Pelodiscus sinensis: one gene and its partners. The protein of the gene in region 3 purifies or fractionates together with the protein of the main gene of each other region. This does not show direct contact. Links are inferred from orthologs where the notes say so. Each region holds a gene or a part of one and is shown on either strand. Other genes may lie near its edges.

Evidence for each region. The genes of interacting proteins can lie anywhere in the genome.
Region 1: the proteins of caspase-8 (region 3) and FASLG purify together in Homo sapiens (co-immunoprecipitation; 8 studies listed by BioGRID and IntAct, with this or other methods). This does not show direct contact. The link is inferred for Pelodiscus sinensis from reciprocal best matches to the Homo sapiens genes CASP8 and FASLG.
Region 2: the proteins of caspase-8 (region 3) and TRADD purify together in Homo sapiens (affinity purification with western blotting; 6 studies listed by BioGRID and IntAct, with this or other methods). This does not show direct contact. The link is inferred for Pelodiscus sinensis from reciprocal best matches to the Homo sapiens genes CASP8 and TRADD.

What each region holds. Positions count from the first base shown.
Region 1 is NC_134719.1:64,390,899-64,399,350, reverse strand, and holds the start of FASLG (tumor necrosis factor ligand superfamily member 6), read right to left. Parts: upstream 3,134-8,452; 5' UTR 1-3,133. Other genes in the region: SUCO (SUN domain-containing ossification factor), read right to left, coding at 4,816-5,262, 5,926-5,981. UniProt on the Homo sapiens protein: Cytokine that binds to TNFRSF6/FAS, a receptor that transduces the apoptotic signal into cells. Involved in cytotoxic T-cell-mediated apoptosis, natural killer cell-mediated apoptosis and in T-cell development.
Region 2 is NC_134722.1:39,337,689-39,345,609, reverse strand, and holds the start of TRADD (tumor necrosis factor receptor type 1-associated DEATH domain protein), read right to left. Parts: upstream 3,134-7,921; 5' UTR 2,866-3,133; intron 1-2,865. UniProt on the Homo sapiens protein: Adapter molecule for TNFRSF1A/TNFR1 that specifically associates with the cytoplasmic domain of activated TNFRSF1A/TNFR1 mediating its interaction with FADD.
Region 3 is NC_134717.1:56,935,190-56,943,831, reverse strand, and holds the start of caspase-8, read right to left. Parts: upstream 3,256-8,642; 5' UTR 3,238-3,255; intron 1-3,237. Other genes in the region: caspase-8-like, read right to left, coding at 6,641-6,791. UniProt on the Homo sapiens protein: Thiol protease that plays a key role in programmed cell death by acting as a molecular switch for apoptosis, necroptosis and pyroptosis, and is required to prevent tissue damage during embryonic development and adulthood.

The DNA.
Region 1 (8,452 bases), on a different chromosome or scaffold from region 3:
TTAGTTGGAGCCGCTTGTCAGAGCTGTGAATGGAGTCGGATGTCTGTGGGGCTCTTCCTCTGAGTGGGTCGAACCCCTTCTCGTATGATCAGAAAGAGGTGCCAGTGCGAGCCAGCCTGCCTGGTCTCTGTTAAATCCGGTAGGTTCTGTTACAATTGGTACACAGGGGTCTTCTGGTCAGTGGCAAGGTAGGAAATGAGAGGGATGAATTGTGCCAGAGCAAAGGGATTATCAAATTTAGCAAGGATGGAGTTATTTCTGTGTAACGGGTTTGCTGGGGCATTGCTCAAAGGTGGCAGAATTAAGGTTGCACAAGGAAGGACCTTTAGCTCTTAATTTCTGAGTTTTAGACATTAGTGTTCCAGAGGGGTACTGGACACAGCCAGGCAAACTTAACTCTGCGTTAACAACATGCTGTGTTACTGCATTGCCCAGTTTATTTGGGGTTTTTTCAAACAAAAATCTTTTCTGTAGGACTATATGGCCATTCAGGCTGCTAGGAGTTATCACACCGGTTTGTGGGTAAGACACTGGTAATCAACCTGTGACCGGTTCGATCACAAAGGTCCCCTTGAGGCTGTCACCCGCTGTATGGAACCTGCCTACCTGCTCTCTGAGGCACGCCGCCACCCTGTCCTGTTGGGCCAGAAGCTCTGGTTCTCCGGCCAAGCCACCGAGTTGGGGTAACAGCACCCCAGCAAAGCAACAGACACTGAACCAGCTTGGCTCTGGGAAGGGCCGGCTATAAGGCTGTTGACAGCACGCAGGAACACAACCCCCAAAAGGGACTAAAACCTCAAATAAATCCATCTTACTCTAAATGTTTTACACAGAGAAAGCTCATTAGATTTGCTGTCTATCAATGAGAGAGATGCACACCTGTTATTCCTCCCAGGTAACAATTATTTCACTGGGTCTGACAAAAACTTTTCTTAAGTATAAAAAGCAGGATTTAAGTGATTGCATATGAAAACAGATCTAAGTTACTAAACCAAAACAAACAAAACATGCCAATTAAGCCTACTACACTAAGACAAATTGTTTCAAAGTATATTCCTCACCCTTGTCCTTATTTCAGGTAAAATGCTTCAAGACCATTGATTTTTCTTTGGCCTGGGTCTACAGCTCCTTGGGTGTGTCTAGACTACAGGGTTTTTTTGGAAAAAGCAGCCTTTTTCGAAAAAACTTCCCCTGCATCTAGGCTGCTGCTGTGCTCTTTGGAAAGTAAATCAAAATGGGGCAATTTTTTCGACCGCAGAAAATCTAGTTTTAACGAGGAAGAACACCTTTTTTTGAAAAAAGGCGCTATGTAATGCAAACTGTCGTTTTTTGAAAGAGCATCCAGACTACCTGGGTGCTCTTTCGAAAAAGCAGCTTGCTTTTTTGAAAGTACTGGTTGTAGTCTAGATGCTCTTTTTTGAAAGAGGTTTGCAGTCTAGATGTCCCCCTTCTGTCCTTAAGAGTTCTTTGTTTCCAGGTTACTGCATTTGTATCTTCTGAGGGTGGAGAGGCCATTTCAAAGGCCAACTGAAGACAAAAGACCAATTGCTTTCCATTCCTTAAATACTTTCCCCCAGCGTGGGAATCTTTTGTTCCCCCCCCTTATCTTCATGGAAAAATACCAGATTCAAAATAGATTCTAGCACCAGGTGATATGTTTTTCTACAGCCAGCCACAGTTTGGGCTTACAGGAAAAACAAGCCCATGTACAGATCATTGCCTTGACCACCGGACGACTAAGTTTCCTACAGTACCACTAACTGCTTTCACTAAAAGACTTAGATGCACAGAAACACACACATTTGGCAGATTGTAACTTTAAAAAAAAATGATAATTTATAGGATACATTTTGCTTAAAGCATCTTTGAGTTATGCTTTATGAAAATTGGCTTATGAATATGCATGTCACACAACCCTAGCTCTTAATACTGCATGTTGACTAGTCCTTCTCAAACGCTTGGCAAAGGGGGTAACAGATGGGGAAACTGAGGCAACGAGTGGTGAAATGACTTACCCCAGGAAGAGAATGTAGATCTGCTGAGTCGTCATCCAAGCCTCATGCTCACGCAGTGACTCCTAAGTATTCCTCCAGAGAGAACTGTCATGCTTTCCAATGTCTGGAGAGTCTTGCTGCTAAGGAGAGAAACCTCCAGATGTGAACGGTTTTAGTACATCCAAAACCTTTTAAGCACATCTGAGAAGAGAGGCTTGTCTCTCCTTCTCCACCCCCTTTCTTATTCCTGCCCAAAATGTATAGCGCCCCTTTCCCTGTTTTTAATAAATCTTGCCTTGGTTAAAGTTACTGTTGCAAGAGTAATGTCATGCAGATATCTCCAGAGAGGAGATAGCCACAACTGTGAAGGATTAGAAAAAAAAAAAAAAAAAACGGTAAAAAGTTTCTGGAAACTACAACCCTCACATAGTCTTGGCTAGGACCCACCTGCACAGGGAGACACTCAAGGCCTAGCAGGCACCAAGAGCTAGCAGTGATATTAGGGATGTGAACAGGTAACCATCACCTACAGCCATATGGAAAGATATTAAATGTTCAAGGCTCCAATCGCTTAGTTTCTTTTTTGTGAGGTTATTGAAGGCTATAGGAGACGGCAATAATTAGCAAGAGGTCAAGATTGAGACTAAAAAACAAACCACAGGCCAAACAACTTCTTGCCTGAGGAAATGTGACAGCCCACCTACTTTTTCTGCAAATGAAGTTCTTGGTAAGTTACAATTAAAGATATAGAAACAAGAAAAAGTTGCACAAATTAAGATTCTTGCCAATGAAACAAACAATAAATCCACATTTATAGCTGCTACAAGTGGTAAACTAGCTCATTTATAATTACAGCAACCTCTAAAGGCCCTGAGATCAGGACTCCCTGACGCAGGTTACTCTTCAAACAAATAGTAAGAAACAGTCCTTGCTCTAAGAGTCTACACTCTAAATTAGGAATGTAAAATCCTGTTTAATTTGTTAACCAGTGAAATGTTACGTTTAACCAGTTAACTGCTTAAATGGGGGAGAAGGGGAAGGGGAAGGAAGGCCACTCCAGCCTGGCTGGACTGAAGTGGCCCCCTGCCGTCACACATGGTGAGAGGATAAATCAAAGCAGAGAGGCAAAGGGACTTTTCTAAGATGCAGGAGTAAATTCCAGGTTTCCTAGTGCCTCAGTCAGTCCAGTGTCCTATAAACTAAACCACACAACTTCACAAATTTGAGCTTCAACCCATTAACAGGGGATTTATAAAAGAAAAGCTACTAAATGCATAAGACAAGTGTTCAGATTTATTCGGAAATTCACAGTTTCTAATGGCACTACAGCTCTGTAGTTACATAATCTTGTTCCACAATATTGTTTGCTGCACTCAGATAGTATAAGCATTTTTTCTTCATTCTTGTTTGGAGCCCTTTCTGATTAGACATTCTATAAATCAGGTCCATGTGCTCTGACTGGCTAATTGTGCAGACCGTCTCTAAAAGTACATCACCATAAAGTATCCATAAACTAACATGAAAGCAGCAAAAACAAAAGCTTTAAATAAGTCACATTACATACAATACCCAGAAAAGGCATTTGATCTGTTTAAAAAAGGGTACCACTAAAAGTGCTCAATAAGTTAACTTAGTTTTACAACATGAACTTATAACACCTCTCAAAAAGGAGTAACCTTCTGTCCCATTCACTCTGCTTCAGTCACACCATTGTATGCAGTCACACATTCGATTTTATCCAAATATACAACCATGGTCAAAATAAACTCATATGAAAGTACCAAAACACACACACACACACACCCTGCACATCTTAGCCAATACAAAAGCAAACTTTATGGAAATATCCACTTTTATACAGACTTGAGCTGTTAGACTTCAAGGCTTGGCAAACTCACTTGCATTGGTCAGGTGCATTTGTACCCAACCCTGGTTAGGATACTTATATTTTCAGTTGTACCTAGTCACCCTTACATTTCTCCTTGAATGTAGTCCCTAATGTCCAAATTCTTGGATCAGAAAACAGAGTGACTAAAATAAAGCATCAATCCTTTTTGGTTAAGTATTGTAACAGAATTCCAAAGGTCAGTCTGGGGATCAAAGGCATGTTTGTCAGCATGAGCTCCTTCACGTACAGCGAGTGTAACTGCATAGCTGTAATTCATTTTACACACCTAAATAAAACAATTCTGAAGTTGATTAAAATGTAATTAATGGCATTACAATTGCTTCTAACAAGATCTTTTCCAAGTGAGTTTTCAAAATGGAGATCAATCGACAAGTCTGCCATGTTAGTATTACTACGGTCTCCAGCCCACACTACTGAGTCCAGCTGACTGCCAACATGCCCCTTTACAGCACTGTAGTGTCGCCTCCTCCAAAAAGCAAGAGAAGTTACAAAAGAAATCAAAGGACAATTTTCTCTCTTCCTCTTCCAGTGGCATTATAAATAGACAAAAGGCACATAAATACGGGAAGGTGCAAGAAATAGGAACAAAGCTAAAGGAAGAGGATTAGGCTTTTATCCCTATTCCACCCAACAAACTGGGTTTCAACTATCTTTGCCCCACTAATTGTGAAAAAAGCTTTATAAAATGATCCCTCCCACCCCCCATTTGTCCACAGAGGAAGTCATCAGCCTTGTAAAGCTGAAACTCAACCAAGATTGACACAATCCCATCTATTTTAAAAAAAACAGAAATCATAATTTCTGAATACTTTCCAGTTAGCTGATCTCTTCTCCCATCACTCTCCTGCAAGATGTACAACAGACTGTTCTCAGATGAACAAACACTCTCCTGCATGAGAAATCCAACTAGTTTTAGATGTGTCCAGAAACAGCTGTGACACCAAGTGTTCCTACAGTTATCTCTTTGTTTCCTTTGATTATGTCATGCAGACTTGGCATTGACCCAGTCTTAGTCTGTATTAGAGTTTTTATGAACTTCCCTTGGTCTGGAACCTTAGATCGCCTTCGTTTTATAGCCCTCTTCTCAGTTTTTGTCTTTTGGGTTTGTCCGTTGCACAGAGTCGTGCATGCTGAAATGCCACAAAAATAGGATTCCTCGGATTGAGATGAAGTTTCTGAGCTTCCTTCAGATGGAGGACCCTTATATGAGGAATGATATACCTCGCCAATGTTAGAGAAATCTCTCTGGTTCGTAAAGGGTTTCCTTCCTTTTATTTCCCCATTGGCTAATGGATGTAGAGGCTCTGACGCTGGTTTAATCGTCTCTATCTTTTCACTTTTATATTTGCAGCGTTTCTTCTAAAGAAGGAAAAAGAAACTATTAGATTGTGCAATGCAAACAAAATCATATCGCATATGAATAATAGTAGATCATACATAGGCTTGTCAGAACTCTAATAACTGATAGATAATACTGATGTTTATTTTAAGCATTTTTATTTTTAGTCAAATTGTCGCAGTTTGCAGGAAATTATCCAAGGGGTCAAAATTATTTAATATAGTAGATGCTGAAATTCAGAAAGTTAAAGCTTTACCTGGTTAAAGCAAATTATCAACATCACATGGCAAAATACATAAGGTAAATATCTTTACATCAAACTAAAGTTCTCAGGGATCATTTTTCTTACTGTGTAAATTTTGATCATCATTGATATAAAATGTAAATACAACACTGAGTCCTGACAAAGTGGGTTCCAGCCCCTGAAATCTTATGCTTAAATAAATTTGTTAGTCTTTAAGGCATTCCAGAACTCCTCCTTGTTTTTGCTGAAGTTGACTAACATGGCTACCCCTCTGATGACTGATAAAAATATTTATCATCACGTGGGGGTGGGGTGGGGGTGTGAAGCCAATGTTCACTGACATTTGTGGATATACTTAATTCTTCCAAGGCTAGTTGTAGATAAGTGACTGAGAAAAAGCACCATCTGCTGGCAGAAACCGGAAAGGAAGCTACTATACCTTTTTTTCTGGTGAAAACTTCAGAGGTTCTACAATATACAAGTCATTTGGATCCACTATAAGAAAAGAAAGGATACATATGAAAGGACAATAAAATGTAACTGCAACCACAGACACTAATTTCTAAAACCATGAAAGTATATATGAAGTTTCATTCCTCCTCGAAAGGACTATTACTCTGCATTCCATCCATACATCTTAAGATCTATGAGATATGAACAGGATGCATATTCATGGAAAGTAAACCAATCAAAATGTTCAATAGAAAAGTTCTATCTCCAGAGCAACTAACTTCTACCTGATCATATAATTCTGCAACTGCAGATCTTGCCTGAGACATTAGACCAGAGTTGAGATTTGCAGAATACATTTTCAGAAGATAAGAAGGGAGTGTTCAAGGACCCAGTACTTGGGGCAGTCATAGGGTTGCCAGGTGTCTGGTATTGAGCCAGACAGTCCAGTACAAAAATTCAGAAAATACCAGACACCTAAAATGTCTGGCATTTTCTGATTTTTTCCCAGCCAGGAGGCAAAAGTACAGGGTGTTTTCCGGGTTCCACGGGGAGCTGTCCAGATCGGAGTTCGAGTTTGATGTTAAAAAAATGTCTTGGTGTTTCCAGCAATCAAAAACACTGTTTCAGAACATTTTTTATTAAGTTTAATATCCTCTAATTTATATAAACTGAACAAGATTTAATAATGCACATTTTTCTCTGCAGAGCATAGAGTGTTTGTTATAACCATGAGGGATGGGTAGCAGCCTGGAGACCAAGGGGTTAATTGTACCTAGCCAGGTAGCATTCAGCCAATAGAAATGCAGGTAAGGACTTCAAACTGAGACAAAGGAATTTTGGGGTTTTCCCTCCTTTGTCTCTGGGCAGTTTGCTCTCTGGATACTGAGGGAGGCAGAACACATGTCTCTCTCCAAGAAAAAGACTCTTCATAATGTATAAATAGGGTAAAGTTTAGATAAATCCATTAGGTTTTATTGTTTTCTGTTTTGGAAATTTGGATCTGATGTCTGTGCTGTTAGAATGGGTTTTCCTCTCTTTTGTAACTAAGTCCTGAGCCCATGGGGGTCCCCCATGAGTATATTAATTGGTAACTTTTTCCATCTAGTCATTATGCTTGCAACAATAGTATTGTTTTGGTAATAAAAGTTTTCTTTTTTATTAACCTGGTATTGGTTCATTTCTGTGTTCTGAAAAATCTGTCTGAGATCTGCATGCCTCTGGTTAGGGGACAGCAACCACAGACTGCAATTTGTATTTTCTCTCTTTTTTTTTTTCCAAGCTCTTTGGGGAAAAGAGCGTGGGGTGCCCTGGAGTTGGTTTCAAGCATCCACCCCCGGTCGTGGGTTTAAAAGCACCTGATGGTAGCAGCATATTTTTATCCCCAAAATCTAAGTTAAGATTTTGCGGGGAAGTGTTGTACCAAAGCTTGTAGAGATAAGGTTTTGGGGTTGCTTTTGTGGGCCCCCACTTCTGCATTCATCATGCCAGAGTGGGGTATCAGCCTTCACAGTGCTGTAAATGCACATTTCTGATGTCTGGATAGAATGGGAGTTACTGCGTATTAGGAGTTTTCATTTAAAGCTTCTGTCACAGTATTTTGGCTCAATGCTCAAATACAAGTTAAGACTTAATTATGAACAGCTTTTATTGAAGAGTTTAGTTTACACGTTGTGTACTCATTTCATTTACAAATATTTGGCAATTCTTTGAGCCACAATTCATTTATTCAATAATGAACTCAGCTTCTTAAAACTCCCCATATAAAAGTGCTCTCCACATTTAACCGAGTGTACGAATTCAGCACGGCAATGCCTGATTTCTACCCCTACTTGACTGTTCTCAAGGCTTAGCAATTGCCCACTGTACTCTTCCAATTTACTCTTTTCCTTTCTGACACACTGCTTCTGAAGCAGGGAGTGGTTTCCACAGAGGTTCATCTACTCTAAAATGCATGAGACAGACACAGGAACACTAACACGTCTATTCATTTTAGAATGTAACTGCTGGCCAATATCTATGCTGACAAAGAAAAATACACCAGATAAATGAGAGGTTCTTTTTAAAAAAAAAAGTCTGGTATAAGTATATCCATTTGCTACCAAAAAATGGAAAGCCAATTCAATGTTAATCTGCAACAGGAAAAGCTTAAGTATTATATTTCAGGGTTTACAGAAAAAAAATGTTCTGTGACTGGCTTAAAGAATAAGCTTGTCTATTTCCGAAACGCTGAATTTAGCTCATCTGAAGAAGTAGGTTTTGCCCACCAAAGCTCATGAGACTATATATATATAAGATGCCACAGGACTACTCATTGAGTAAAGCATGCAGCATCCTTTTATTTCCTTTGAAAAGTTCCAAGGTTAAGGAGTATAATTGGTTTGGCTTGCCAGGGAATTTTACGTTAAAGTGAGCATAAGGTGCAGTAGTATCACATTGCACTCTGACCCTAAATTTCTAGCTACACAAGGGCCATATCTACACCCACGTGGAAATCGATCTTCTGGAGTTCGATT
Region 2 (7,921 bases), on a different chromosome or scaffold from region 3:
TGAGATCAAAGGTGAGAACTTGCTAAGACTTTACCAACCAGGCCTCTAATGATCAAATCTAAATAGCACAAGAGGTGGTTATGTTCAGCTCCTTTCTGCACAACAAAAATTTCCAAGTGTAAAATTCTGGCTCCATTGAAGGCACTGGGCAGAATGATCATTGACCTCCTCGGAACCAAGATTTCACTTCAAGGCTTTATATAATTCTAAGAGGAGGATGACACCTCACCACAAGAAACCTTCATCTATGGTAGAGAGTATGTTGAGCTCAAGCTGGTGGAACCAGCCTCAGTGAACACTGTATACTGGGACCTGAACACAAACATTGCCAGGCTTGGCTAATCCACCAAGTCAGCCAATTTGGAGAGCCTAGTCAGTTTGGAGTCTTTGCCAAAGGATAAATTGAACTAAGTTCTGTTTCAGCTTCCCTGAGCTACTGGAATTGGAGGATGTTAGAAATTTGCTGCTTTCCAGTTTCTGAATCCCCTGCTCCTTTATAATGAAAGTTTCAGGCTACATTTACACTATCGTTCGGATTGATGCTCTGAGATCGATCGACTGGCGGTTCATTTAGTGGATCAAGTTAAGACCTAAGCTCCCTGTAAGCTGCACGGCTGTGGGACAGTGCAGAGATTTTTGCTAAAACATCTACTGATTAGTCTAGAGGTGCATATGTGTGTGTGTACAGGATGGAAATATCAGAATTGCCTGAGTAATTTAAGAGCACAAATCCCAATTGCTCATGTTCCTATATCACTTAAGTGCTGTCAAAAATGCCACCTATAGTAGTTAAATATCAGTCAATTGAATAGTCTATTAATCTCATGAATTCTTGTCGGTTACACAACTATTCTATAGTCCCCAGGGGTGGGGCTGGCAGCCAGTGCACTCTGGTCCTTCTCCCGAGCAGCCCCCTGCCACTCTTGCAATGCTGCCTCTGTATCATAAGCAGCAGTGCGGGGTGCTTGTCTGTGAGGGAGCCAATTTAAAAACCAGCTCCCCTTGCAGCCTGGCTGTCTGTTGCCCCACAGCACTGCCTCTGATGCAGAGGACAGCAGCATGGGGTGGCAGTAGCCCCTGTCAGAGGGAAGATGAGGGGATCTGAGCTCCCAGACTCAGCATGAGCCAGGCTGCTGGCCAGCCTGCTAAAAAATTGCCTGGTTGGGGGCCGGAAAGGAGAATGTGTGAAGTATATAGTATTAACCTATAAGCTTTTGCTTATCAGTTAATTGGTTAATTGACTATGTTATTACTTCCCTAACCCATAGCGGAGCAAAAGGAGGCGATGAGTCTAAGCTGCAAAGTTTAGAGCTGCTTTTGGATGCTCCCAAATGTTCGGTGGGTGTTAGTTCAGGTGCATGTCTGTGTCCCAGTATCTCAGAGGGAGAATAAAAGAGACAGAGACAGAGATTCAAGTACTTTGCTTTAGTCAGTTTCAATAGAAATCCCTCCCAGTACTATAACACAAAATTTTGACCTGAACTTTGTTACACTGTTTCACAATAGTAAATGATGCATCAAACTGTATTTATTATTATTGTTATTAATTATTTTTATTTTATTAGCTATACTCTAGGAGCATCTAGGAGCCCTAGTTATGGGCCAGGCCCATTGTGCTGGGTACTATACGACACAGAACAAAAAGATGGCCCTCAATTAAAATGTAAACAGATTCATTTCCTCACCTTTGCTCTGATAGGGAGGTCATTTACTTGTGAGTAATTTTCCCTCTATGCAGTATAATATTCCCTGTAGCGGGGTGCTCTGGCAATAACTTTTGCACAATGTAATACTCCTAATGTTTCATAATCCCAGCACATGGCATGGTATTCCAAAAGCTGATATGAACTGTAAATGGTATTTCACGTGGTAGGAGTTCCTCCAATTACAATATTTTGAATCATGTGCTGTTGTTAATACACAGTTCGTGAAAGGAAAGGTAGCCATTATAACAGGTCCAGCAAACCTGTTAGGATCAGCAATGCAGTGCAGAAAGGCTTATTAAAATCAGCAGGGTTTGGCTTAATAATGTGTGAAAAATACAGTTTGAAAATAAGGCAGAGATCACACATGTTGAATTTAAAAATCTCTATGGATTCAGTGGCCCATGTGAAATGAGTTTTAGGAGTTTCAGCTCAGTTCCTAGTAAACAAATCCGTCTGAGGAAGCCACCCACATTAACCAGGTTCTGAGGCTGCTTGGAGAAGTTTGCATTGGATTTCCTCTTTCAGTGCCAGTTTAGTAGAATGGCAGATGTGGGACTGTTAATTTGGCCCATTTTCACCAGCATTAATTTTCCATGATTGTAAAAGTCAGTTGGGTCAATATCACAGATGTGCAATTCCTGCCTGTTGCACTTAAAAATCTGTGGGCCAAACTCCCTATGGGTGCAAATAAGTCTCACTCAATTCAACATTTCACCCACTTACACCAGCAGCAATTTTGGCCCTATATTTTAAAAACAATAGAAAAACCTAAGCCCCCGTGTCAGACTGACAGAACACAAAATATTTGTTCCAGAAGTTGAAAATCTCTTTCCCCATGCCCCACCCCCACCCCAGACCAAAAAGTTAGCCTTAGGGTGAGTGACCCTGGAAAAAAGCTTGCTTTGATTTGGTTTTATTTTGTAATTTATGAAGGAGATTGGACTAGTTTAAATTTTAATATCTTTGTAAAAACGAATCGCTCATTTGCTTTGGGTCTCATGTGACAAGCTTGTGGATGATGGAATTTGTGGGGCAAAACGGAAAGCTTCCCTGAAGCAAGAACTTTCTTGGCAGCAAGCACAGCTGATTGATCAGAGCAGAACCACATTAAATGTCATGCCCACCAAAAACCACCCTCTTATAACTCTCATTAATTTACCTTGTCCAGACACCCCCTTCTCACGCTTTCAGATGCCTTTCACTTCCGCCTCTTTGCATAGCAGGAGGGAGAGTCACTAAAAACTCCTCCTGGTCATGTGGCTGTAATGACAGAGGTATCCTGAAAGGCAGCTGAAGGCAAGAAACCAGACCCCCAGTTTAGCTGTGCTGTAATCCTAACCAGGAGTAGCAAGGATTTTAAGGAATTTAGGACAGAGACGGGTTAAATCTTGCATGACAGTATGTTACTAAGGGTCAGATTAAAGCTGTATGTCTCAGAAAGGATATTTTCCTGCATACGGGGATTGTACTTCCCCTTCAGGTTTAGGAATCAATATTATTGGCCAGAGCACTTGTCAGTCCTATGTGCCTGGGATAGCAATAGGAGGCCCGTAACTGAGTGCTAAAGAATTTGTCTGCAGCTATCAGATGACTGGATAGACCAATCAAGTGGGTTTAGGGTTGTCAATTTTCTCTTTGCTCTAAAGGGCACTCCTATGTGAAATGGCAGAGTACAGAACTGTGCACCAATGTATTATCATTTATTATGTTTCTGATTTAAAAATATATATTATATTGTATATATAACATATGAATAAACATGAGTTGGTAGATACAGATACGCTCCCTCTCAGGAGTGTCCTCTTTTTTTGAAAATTCAAATATGGTAACCCATTAGGTAACACACAAATCACACAAGTAACTGTAGAAAAGTTCAGGGGGTAGCCGAGTTTGTCTGTTACAGAAAAAAAACAACCAATGGTCTGGTAGCACTTGATAGACCAGTGGTCCCCAACCATTTGGGGTTGCCGGGCACCAGGGGGCGTGGCCGTTCGCCCGCCGGCCGCCCAGGGGGGCAGGGCCCCCCCATAGCCACATTCCGGGGGCCGGCGCTCTCCCCTCAAGCGCCACGCGCCCAGGGCCGGCGCTCTCTCCCCCCCTCCCCCAAGCGCCGCGCGCCCGGGGCCGGCGCTGGCGCTCTCTCCCCCCCTCCCCCAAGCGCCACGCGCCCGGGGCCGGCGCTCTCTCCCCCCCTCCCCCAAGCGCCGCACGCCCGGGGCCGGCGCTGGCGCTCTCTCCCCCCCCCCCCCCCGCCATGCGCCGCGGGGGGTCAATCCGTGGCGCCCCCGGGGCCGGCGCTCACCGTGCGCCACGCACCCAGGGCCGGCTCCGGCACCGCGCATGTGCCACGTGCCCGGCCCCAGGCCAGCCCTGAGCACTTGGCGGGCGCCGACAAATGCCCCTGCGGGCGCCATGGCGCCCGCGGGCACCGTGTTGGGGACCACGGTTATAGACTAACAAAACATGTAGATGGGATCATGAGCTTTCGTGGGCACAGGCCACCCCAATTCCTGCTTTTGGGCCCAATCATGTCTGTTTTTTGTGGGGAACCACAAAAATTACTAGGATTCTGAGACATGCAAACCTGTTTGGGGGAAAGAAATTCCATATTGTGAAACTGTTTTCATTTCAAAGGGTGTGATGCTGACCTCCTCTGATTTTTAATTATTCATGAGGGTTTTTTTAAATCCTCCTTTTTAAAAATTAAACTGGTTATTGAAATTTTTTCATTTGTTCAAAATGTGGTTTTTGTTACTAACTGAAGACACGTTATGATGTTTTAGATGAAAATATTGAAAAAGGCACACACCTATTTTTAATTAAATTTTTCACTAAAAAGTCATTTGGAACAAACAAACAAACAAACAAAAAAGACTTGCTTTATTTGGGTGGAATATGAGTGCACATGCAATTCAGGCATGAACCCTGTAATCCAGCGTTTCCCAAACTATGGGCCACGGCCTGATACTGGGCCGCAGGAAAAAAGTACCGGACCTCAGCATGGTTGCCGAGGTGTTCCAGGCTCCCGAAGTGCCTGTGTGGCACCAGGTCCCCAAGCCCTTGGCCGGCCTGGGCAGAGTCTGCAGCTGAATCTTCCGGCTAGCGGAGGTTGGGGGCGGCGAGGAGGAGGAGGGGAGAGCCGGCCATCAGAAGCAGCACTGGATGGGGAAATCAGGGCGGACCAGGGAGATTGGGGGAGGGGCAGCCGGCACAAGCAAAGCTGGGCAGAGGGCTGGCCCGGGGAGATTAGGAGGAGGAGTAGGGGAGAAGCGCCCGCTGGAAGCAGGGCTTGCTTGGGGCATCGGGACTGACCGTGAGAAATTGGGGGGCTGGCAGAAGCAGGGCTGCTGGGGGGCGCGAGGTCGGGGGTAGGGAGCTGGCCAGGAAAATGGAGGGGGGGGGGGACAAGAGGCCGCCAGAAGCAGGGCTGGACGCGGGCATCAGGACTGGTCAAGGGAGACTGGGAGGAGAAGCGGGGGCGAACTGGCTGCCCGGGAGGAGACTGGGGGAAGTGGGGCTGGCCGGAGGCACAGCGGGGGGAGCGAACTGACCCGGCCATATGCGGATCTCGGGGCGCTGCCTGCCCACCCCGCAAAGCACGAATGAGTCTGGCCCAGGGATTCTATTGTGCCCCCCATCCCCCCTGCCCTCTTGAGTAGTTGTGAACTGTCTGGCTGGTAAACACGCTCATGCAGTCTGAGCACATTTACCAGCCAAGCAGTTCGAAACTACAAACTGATACAGCTAGTAATAATATGACTTACCTACTGAGAAAAGTCTGGTATTTTCTCAGTTTGTTTTTTATGTGTTTATATTTTTGGGCTGCAAAAAACAGTACAGAAAAAAAGGGTTCCAACTGAAGTAAAAAGTTTGGGAAACCCTGGTCTAACCAGCTTTCTGTCTGTCTTACTGCCCATTTATCCAATCCATATTCCTTAACTTGCTGGGAAGAATATTGTGGGTGACTATATCAAAAGCTTTGCTAAAGCTGGCACTGGGGGCTTTGGGAGGACCAGAAACAACTTATTTGAATATTCATCATTTGATTAATGAATATGCAAGTATACAAATGAATGTTACCAGTCCTCCAAAAGTTTGTGAATAGATTTACTGGTCCCCGTGTCAAAAAGTTTGGGAACCCCTGCTGTAATCTCCTTGCATAGAGTTGGTTTAAATAGCCCTCTCTTTCTTCTTCCCCTGTGCACATGTATTGGAGCAGGAAGGGTATGTCTAGACCACAGGCTTTTGTCTGTCGAAAAAAAGCATCTAGATTACAGCCAGTTCTGTCAACAAAGCAAGCTGCTTTTTTGACAGAGAGTCTAGACGCTCTCTTTTGAAAAAGCATAGTGTAGATGCAATAGCACCTTTTTTTGACATAACTCTGTTATTCCTCATAGAATGAGGTTTACCGCTGTCGACAAAACTGCCGCATTCTGTCGACTTACTGTCCACGTTTGTTGACAAAACCCTGTAGTCTAGACACACCCTAAGGAACCAGGCAGTAGAAAATGGGTGCTAAGCACCCAATGGATTGTTCTGACTGTCACAGTAGAGTAGCTTAATTGGTAGTGTTGCTATAGTGCCAATACCATGATTCAAAAATTGAGAGTCAGGCCCAAAAAATCATGAATGACTTAAAAATCCTTAGATGTGTTTACATTGCATGTTGTGTCATTCACTTGCTTGTTGTAGGGCTTTTCCCTAAAATTATGATGCCTAGTAGCTTCCTCTTCCTTTAGAAGGAACGCTGAGATACTCGTGTCATTGTATGACCTCAGCAGCAGGGTCTTTGCTTTCAGAACAGCAGGAAATACTTCAAGACACACGATAAAATCACAAGTTGGCAGGGCTTAATTTATAACAAAAAAGGTGCCAGAGCTCAATTTTTTTTTAAATTTCATAACCAATGTGACAAACCCGTGGTGCTGGGGGCCATGAACTGCCATGCCTAGAGGTTCTGGGCCTCAGCCCTTGTAAAAATTAAGCTATCCTGAATCCACAGGCTGGGAGTGGGTGAGTCATCCTCAATGGGGAGGGGTGTTGTCTAGGCAAGGCTCACACTGAGGTTGGCAGGAGAAGACCATGGCCACAGAGTTGGGAGAGATGGGCGGAGCTCAAGCCCTGGCAAGGTCTCCCACCCCATAGCACACCCCACAGCCTGTGTGCCTCGGATACCTTCTATATTTAAATGACAGAATCATTAAAAAAAGGATAGAGAATAAGACAGAGAATATCTTTTTGCCTTTGTATAAAACTATGGTACGCTCACATCTTGAATACTGTGTACAGATGTGGTCGCCTCATCTCAAAAAAGATATACTGGCATTGGAAAGGGTTCAGAAAAGGGCAACTAAAATGATTAGGGGTTTGGAATGGGTCCCATATGAAGAGAGGTTAAAGCGACTGGGACTTTTGAGACTAAGGGAGGATATGATAGAGGCATATAAAATCATGAGTGGTGTGGAAAGGGTGAATAAAGAAAAGTTATTTATTAGTTCCCATAATAGAAGAACTAGAAGACACCAAATGAAATTAATGGGTAGCAGGTTTAAAACTAATAAAAGAAAGTTCTTCTTCACACAGCGCGTTGTCAACCTGTGGAACTCTTTGCCAGAGGAGGCTGTGAAGGCTAGGACTATAACAGAGTTTAAAGAGAAGCTAATTTCATGAAGGTTAGGTCCATAAAAGGCAATTAGCCAGGGTATAGCAATGGTGTCCCTGGCCTCTGTTTGTCAGAGGCTGGAGACGGATGGCAGAAGACAAAGGATGGCGGGGAGTGGGGTTGGCTGGGAGGAGGTCGGGGGAGGAGGGCTGGCTGGGGGCGGAGGCGGAGAGAGTGGGGCTGGCCGGAGGAGAACCAACTGTTGGGGAGCGGGGCTGGCCAGGAGTGGGTCGGGGGGAGTGGGGCTGGCCAGGGGAGATGGGGGAGGACGACTGGCTGGCAGGAAGCAAGGCTGGTCGGGAGGGGGTTAGTGGGGCTGGCTGGGGAAGAGTGCAGGGCAAGAGAATTGGCCAGCAGGGAGCGGGGCTGACCAGGGTACACGCAGATCCCGGGGTGCTGCCCATCCCACGCACGGTCCCGGTGAAGCACAAGCGAGTCCGGCCCTGAGGATTCCATCCCACCTTGGCCCCGCCCCACCCCCACTGCGTAGTTGTGTACTGCCTGGCTGGTAAACACGCTCACACATCCAGGCAGTACACAACTACGTACTGAT
Region 3 (8,642 bases):
GTGGCATTTTCGCCCCCTAAAATAGCATGTTGGGTAGGGAAATTCCAACAGTTGGTGTCAGGGTGAGTAGTTGCTTTACCACAAGAGAAAAAGATGGGGGGAAGCCCACAAATGAAGTTTAGGGACTTCCCAAACAAAGCAATGAAGCAGAATTTTCTACTCATTCTGGACAAAAGTAGTCAGGACAAACAAAATCACTTTTCAGTATGATTATTGGCAATACTTATCTACACTGCTGTCTATCAGACAGACAGTAGTGTAAATAGGTATAACTTATTCTACACTGCAGTGCAAGCCCAGGTTGAAACTCAGGCCAGTGCTACACTAAACCCGAAAGATTGGCTCAAGGTGTGTAACTAACGTAGCTGGAGTCAGCATATCTTAAACCAAGCTTGTTGCCATCTTCACAGTGGATGTTAATGGGAGCAAACACTCCCATCCGCTTCCCTTATTCCTTGTGACTGGGAGGAGTACCAATGCTGACCCGAGATGCGCTCAGCATTCAATTTAGCAGGTCTTAACTAGACCCACTAAATCAAACACCAGAAGATCTATCACCGGAGCATAAGTATAGATGTGGCCTCAGACTCACGTGCTACTCTCCCTTCTGTCTACTCACAAACGTCTTGGACTTTGGCTCAAACCCAAGGTCTTAGACAGGAGTCAGCAACCTATGGCTCCTGAACCAAATATGGCTCTTTGGCAGCTGGAACGCAGCCCCCCTCCTCATTCCCTCCACTACAAGGAGCCCATACTAGCACTTCAGCCTTGCAGCCCCCTCACCTCCACAAGATTGGTGCGCTAGCGCTAGCTTCCTGTGGGGGCAGAGAGGGGAGAAAGCCCCGAACCTCGCTGCATGATCCAACTCGCAGGGGAGAAGTGGAGGCAGATGTGGCTCTGCGCGCTGCTGCATCCCCTCCCTTGGCTGCAGGAACAGCAGCACATGGACATGCTGCCTGTAGGATTTCTCCGCTGTTCCCACTGGCCAATGAGAGCAGCAAGAGGTGCCTGAGAGCAACATGGGGCGCAAAAGCAAGTGAATGCCCCCTTCCTCTCATGCCCAGACTTGGCACCCCAACTCCCTGCCCACTGAGACCCTGCACTCCCAGCCCACTCCTGCACCCCTCCCCCTGGCCAGACACCCAAACTGCTCCTGCATCCTTCCCCTGGTCAGACACCCCACCGTCAGCCTGTTCCTGCACTCTACCTCCCACCCTCATCCCCTCCTGCACCCCATCTCCCACCCAGATCCTGCACCCCCATCCCTACCCCACTCACTGGCCGCTCTGTCCCAAACACTGAACCCTTCCTTTTTGGCTCCACACCAGAGCCTAAGGAAGTCCACAAAATCCACTGCCCCTCAAAGCCCAAGAGAGTTAATCTGGCCTGAGGCCTTGAACTTCATTTCTTCCTCCTCTCCATGGGGATGGAGTGCCAGGGAAGTGGGGTGTCTCAGTGGGGGGCCACATCAGTGAGGGCTGTGGGATTTTGGAGGGGTTTTTTGCTGCTCATTTGTGTGGTCCCTAATTTTTCTGTGGGTCAGTGGCCCCCACCCCGAAAAAGGTTCCCCGCTCCTGCCATAAATAAAGAATGTTGAAACCTTTTGTATTGGACATAACATTTTTACTTCATTTAAAATAAAGTTTGCTAAACTAATATGAGAAAGCTGAAGTGCTTAATCTGTTCAATAATTTCAACTAATATTTTCTTTCTTACTGGCTAAATTAAACTGTTCTCCCTTGCTGCACCATTAGCAAAATGGCTCGAGTGTAATTATATAATTAGCGTCAAGTTTCCATTAGGACCTGGTGGTCCACGGAAAGGTTTATAATGACCTGGGTGGGCCATGGGCCAAAGGGCCTGTTCTTTTGCCATTCCCAAAATACATGGAACTTTTTAAATTAAAACGAAAAATTAATACACAATTTCAAAGACACATAAAATGGGCAGGCTGGGGGCACTCTGCTCATTGAAAGGGCCAGCTGAGGATGTGCTGGAAAGAACACGTGCACGCTCCCAGCTGGCATAGCGAGAGGGGCTGGCGGCAGCAGATACCTCCACCTGGCTGCCACAGCTCGGCTCCAGCCCCCATCTTTCTGCCGCGGTCTGTCCCCAGCTGCAGTGCTCCTGAGGTGGACCCCGCAGCTCAGTCATGGTGGACCTGCGACTGCTGCAACAGCCCAGCCATGGTGGCCCGGTTTAGGTTCCAGCTACGGCAGCCTGGCCAACTAGGCCCCAATCGGAAGCCAATCCCCCATCTGTCCACAGGGTCCTGTCCCTAGCACCGATCCTGGGGCAAGCCCCACTGTATGGTCCCCATCTGGCTGCAGGAAGGGCTGGTGGCAGCTCCCCTCCTGCTGCGGCACAGGTAGGAGGGGAGGCCATAATCTGGCTGTGGCGATCCTGGCCTGGCCCCTCATCCCAGCCACTGCAGCAGCCCAGCCTCGGCTAGGTAAAGTAATCCATTCCCAGAACCTCCCCGCATACTCTGCTTCCCATCCCAGCACCCTGCCCTGCTGCCTGCACCTCCCACACATCCCATCCCCCTGTCCTGAGCCCTTCATACAGCCCAATCCTGACTGCTGCACCCCCACGTCCACAAACCCCCAGCAGCAGCAGAAGTCCATTAAATAAAGCCTGTGAGTACAATGTTTCATTGGTGCTATTATTAATCATCACATCAATCATCAATCATTTTCAGTTGTATATTTTCAGTCATGCAATTGGGCACTCTTATGCCGGCTCTTTGTTCTGAGTTTTGATGTAATTTGGCTCTTTGACGTGAAAAGATTGCCAACCCTTGCTCTAGAACTTTCCAGAACAAATAAAATTCTAGAATCAGGGCCTGACCCAGTCCTGTATTAAGGTTCGTATAGTGGCCATCTTGGCATTCCACCCTCCAATTCAGGACAGATCTGTGTTTTGGCACCAGCTGTTGGCTCAGTTCTTGAAAGGCTCTTCCCTTCTGTCAAGAATCACCTCCCAAATGGGACCTCTGTTGGGTCCTCTCTAGGCTGACAGGACCACCCTTTGAGCCATTGGGCTCGTGTTCCCTGGCTCATTTATCGTGGAAGGTCGCTTTCCTCATGGCGGTGATATCGGCCAGATGAGTGTCAAAAGCCTTGACATCAGAACCATATTCAGTCCTCTATCTGGCTCTGACCCCAGATGGTCTTTTTACTGAAAGTGCTATGGCCCTTCCATGTTAACCAGGATATTTTCCTCCCGGCGTTTTACCTTAAGTCACATGCCAATAATGAGGAGAGGAGGCTGCATGCTTTGGATGTCAAGTGTGCCTTGACTTTTTATCTGGCACACACCAGGCCCTTCATGGAAATCAACCCAGCTCTTCATGGCAACTGCTGACAGGATGAAGGGCCTTCCAGTGTCTACACAGAGGATCTCCAATCAAAGATCAAAGCGTGTTACTGCATCAAAGCGTATTATGACCCGGCACATGTCCTGCCACTGGTGGTCACAGGCATTATCGGCTGCATTCCTTGCTCACGTCCCAGTCCAGGACATCTGTAGAGCTGCAATGTGATCTTCCATACACACATTCACGACTCACTACAGCCACACAGACTAGGGAGGACACTGGCTTTGTCAGTGCTGTGCTACAAGCGACATATCCCTGAACTCCTATCTGCTTCCATGAATACTGCTTGGAAGTCACCCAGTTTGGAATGGCTGTGAGCAAGCACTGGAAGACAAAACAGTTATCTGTTCCATAACTGGTGGTCCTCGAGATGTCTATTTCTCAACCCACCCTCCTTCCTCACTTGTTGGAGTTTCCAGTGGGCAGGAACTGAGGGTGATGAAAGTGTGAAGCATCCCTTATATTGTGCTTTGAGAGTTGCTAGAGTTGCTCCCCTGTGGATACTGGACCATGGTGCTTGTAGCGTGCACACACACCTGACTTGGAATGGACATGAGCAGCATCTCAAAGACCACCAATTACAGAACAGGTCTTTTAGCATCCGCCTGTTTCTTTGTCACTGTCCGGGTGGATACAAATTGATTTTTTTAAAGTCTACTGTTAAACAAATTATGTAGAGCAATTGCATCTTCTATAGGTGGGGAGACAATATTTTCTTCATTTCAGATTATAGTTATCTAGTTCAGTTCATTTACTATCTCATTCAAAGTTAAAAACCCAATTGGGAGTTGGAAAAATGAAGGACACTGTTTTTCTCTGCCACTCCATGTGGAAAAAGTAGGTGTAAGAGAGTAAGATCTACTAGTTCTAAATTCTTGAAGGACAACGTAACCAGGAACAAATCAGTTAAATTCACAAATCACTGATAATACTGCCTTTGTTTAATAAACTGGTTAGTTTTCAATGTTTTGATACACTTTCTGATAAACTTTCTTCTGATGTATACAGCACTTTTAATATCATTTTATTTAATAAAAACAATTAAAATGCTATTTTTCTGCATTTTAATTTAATTTGAATTTCCATCCTATTTGAGTGTGACAAAGATCACACAAAAAATTTAATCTACTATATCAGAAAAGCCTTCACCATTTTCTATTAAAAATGTCAAAACAAAGAAGCTGAATAAGTATATGCTAATGGGCTAATCTATATAGTTGCTTTGCTTAAAGAAATATGTAGAGATATAGTGTAGTTAGCAAAAATCACCAGCAAAATATAGCCTTTCCACTAAATTAATTTAGTTGCAAGTCAGCATGCTTCTGAGGTTACAAATTAATGAGAAATCAACATTTCCTTAAGTCACATTCTAAAAAGTACAAATGCAAAACATGATTAAAATAGTGGTTTCCTGCTTGCTGATTTAATTTCTGTATAAAGGGACTTTTCCCCCTGAGAACCATGCTATAGACCTGATGTTCTAGGCAATTTATAGGCTCAACTTTCTCCGTCCATGCAGAACCTCCCCAGGATCAGATCTGTAAATCCAGAATACAAATCAAGGAAGTTAGGGTTTTTGGGGGGTGGGAAAGTTAGGAGGGGCATGGGCTGAGATAATAAAAATGGATTTTGGTAAACCAAGACTGGCTGTTTTTCTGGAAATTGTGCTCTAGTTCAAAAAGGAGTAAATTCAGGAAAGTCTTATGTCTGCAGTATAGGAGGTCAGACAAGATGATTACCAGGGATCCTAGTAATCCATTTAGAAAAAACACAGAATTTGCATTTTTACAAAAAATCTCTAGTTTTTACATTGTGTAAAAAAATATAAATATTAACTATTAACTAAATCTTACTGAAGGTGTCAGTGTCACTTATTCACTGTGTGCAGCCTCCCACTCTTGATTTTTAAATTTACATAGCTAAACATACTACAATAAACTACTTCCAATGTACTGAAGTTACTCGACAGTGTATAGGGTTCTGTGTTTTAATGTCTCTCACATTTCACTTCAACCTCCAGACATGAGTAATCAAAGTTATGAAAAGATACCAAAAACTTTAAAACCACCCCTAGAGTCAATGAATTTGGCAAGGAGAAATTTCACATTGATGATACAGGTAGAACCTCTCTAGTCTCGCATCTTCTGGACCTCACTGGTGCTGAACCAGAGAATTTGCTGAACCATTCAAGATCAATATTTTCTATCAGTATTACCAACACTTCCACTGCTTACAGGCCTCTTAGAAGATATTTAGGTGTAAATTAGAGCTAAACAGCACAACAGAACACTGGACTGGTGGCTGTAAACAAACTTTATGAGACCTCAGGAAACTTGGCCACACACACCCATGATAAGTGGACATCCAGCCAAAAGAAAGCATGCTGAACCACAGATGTTACTGGACTAGAGTGTGCTACACTAGACTAGTTCAACCTGTTCTGCACTGTATGCAGTAAGGTCATAGATTACATTCGAAGGCAGACACTTGTAGAACACATGGAAAGCGCCAAACTAGACTAAAAAAACAAAAAACAAAAAACACAAGAGAGGCTGAAACAGTAGGACCATCAACAACTGTAAAGAAACAATGTACTATGACTATCACGTGAGTGTTTTTATGCGTTTAAAACCCACAATTTCCTGAAAATATAGAATACAAACATACAACTGTTAGGTATACATAAAACATACAAATAGCAATTCTATTAATTTTATTATAGTGTTTGTGAAATGGATAGGCTTGAACTTGCTAAAAAATGGTAAATATATCAATAAAACATTGCATTCAACTGATACCTATATATATTGTGGCTAGGGAAACTAAAATTCAGCGTTTCATTTCAACTGTGGACAAACTGAAGAATTTTGGGGTTTTTCCTTTCACAGAAAGCTAAGATCCCTAATAATCACAATGGCCCCTTTCAGACATACTATCTATGAATAACATTGACAAATGGAAACTGCCGATTTCCTCATTGGTTTGGAGTCATAATTTTCCTGTGTGTTTCTTCCTGTGAAATCAGGGTCAAGGCAGTCAATCCTAGAAAAGGCTGAGCAGGCTCAACTCCTACTGAAGTAGATAGATGCTGGACACTGTCAGGCCATTTCATGATTTGGACCACTGTCAGGGCGAATGATCCAAGAGTTGAAGGCCCTCGGTACCTTGTAGGACTGGGACCTAACTGAATAGATCCAGTCCATTGGTCTTTTGGAACTGCAAGTTGAATCCATCTCAGAAAGCGGCTCCTAGTTTAGTGTCTCACTGACGCTTCTTGTCTGGCGTTGGCACCTGGAAGATCAGTTGCTTCCGCAGGGTTGATTTTATTTCTGGCATCTGCTTTTTGTCGAGAAACACTTTTTCTCCCACTTTCTTATTGACTTCTGTCAGAATGGTCAACAGATCTACACGCCTTGAACAAATTACAAGGGGAAACAAGAGTGATACGGAAACACACAGGACTTTCAGAGTAGCCGTGTGAGGCTGGTCAGGAAAGTTGTCCAGGTTTGGGTGACATGATCCCCTGGAGCAAGGACAATGGCTTTCCTTTACCCTAGCTAGGCGGTGGGTAAGGAAGGCAAGGGAACGCATTGCCTTCCCAAAACAACTGGGGTGGTCCCACCCATGCTCCGCCCTAGGGCCCCTCCTACCTGTGAGCAGTGGGTTGCTCTTGGACTGGTGCTGGGGCTGGCGATTGGAGAGGGAGAGGTGCAGGGCTGGCCAGCCCCCTGGTGCTTCAGGGCCAGAAAGGCTGGTGTCGACTGGTTCTACGACCGTCTGGGAAGGCTGGAGCTGCCCAGCTGCTCAGCCAACTGGTGCTCCTGCCAGCCAGGAAGGCTGGGGCCACACCACCCGTGGAAGGGGGGAGGCACAGAGGCCTGGGGGCATCCCAAGGCTGGGAACCACTAGCCTGGGGTGGGGACCAGCTGCTACAGCAAGAGCGAGCTTGGTTCCATGGTGGTGGGGGGCATTGTGGAAGGGACGGGGACTCGAGCTGAAGCGCAGGCCTGGGGACTTGCCTTCCCCAGCTGGGGTTTCACCCACCACCTATGGTACGATGTAACCATTGCATTCAACATATATCAGAAGAAAAAAGAATTTCAGAAAGGCCACTCGGTGTAAGCTTTTCTATCAAGCTGCATTTCTTGATACTGGTTAGAAGGAGCATTTAGATAATATGGAGACGCCAATGAACATCATCCAACCCTCCTGCTGCTCTCCATGATGCTACACAAGACTGATCACAGACACCATTTGCCTTCATTTCCAAAGCACAACACTGGCGCGGCTTCTTCTATAGACTGCAGCCTAGGGAAGGGTGGTTCTTGCCATTGCTCTTCACTAAAAAGAACTGCCTGCTTCCTCTGGCTTCCACTAATTCCCACTGGAAGAACAAAACCACTGGTCATTTAACATTGTGAAGTACTATATAGGAGACGTCTGGGAAGGCAGCACAGTATGGAGCAGCGACAGGCAACCAAGGCTGGTGAGTGGGCCACGAGTGGCCCTCCATCTCAGTGGGCATGTGCATTAACCATGACCAGCATGGTTTTTGCTTTAAATGGGGGTCACTTCTCATTTCGCCCCACCCTGTCCTCACACTCCAGCCCTTCCATCAAAACACTGCCCGGCTCGTCTCTGTCCCCTCCAAACACGCCTCATCCCCTCTCCTTCCCTTTCCTCCCAGCACTTCCAGAACTCTGTGAATCAGCTGACCTGTCCCTGATCCTCCACCCTCCCTCCCAGAATTCGAATGCTGTGAATCAGCTGATTTGTGGTATTCAAACTCTGGGAAGGAGGGCGGAGGAGCAGGGACAGGTCAGCTGATTCACAGAGTTCCGGAAGCGCTGGAAGGGGGGAGGAGGAGGGGGAGGTAAGTGCGGGGTCCCTAGGCACGAGAGGCATGGGGAGACGGCTCAGAGGGAGGCTGTGCAGGCCGAACATAGAACCCGGACAGGTGATATGTGGGCCACAGGTTGCCCACCACTGGTGTGGCGGATTGAGCTGGGAACTGGGCACCTGCAGGTTCAGCCCAATAATCCTGGCTACACTGCTGATTCCCATAACCTCAGGCAAGTCACAGAGAGTCTGTCTGGTTTGTGAAAAAGGCACCGCAACATGCACTGACCAGCATGACAGAGGGCTTGGGAGGTCTAACTAGCACTCATGCAATGCTTTGAAGATGCAAAGTGCTGTAAGCGGAAAGTGCTATTGTCTGTAGGTTTCTATTCAGATTAGTTTAAGAAAGGGCTCCTGGAAGAAA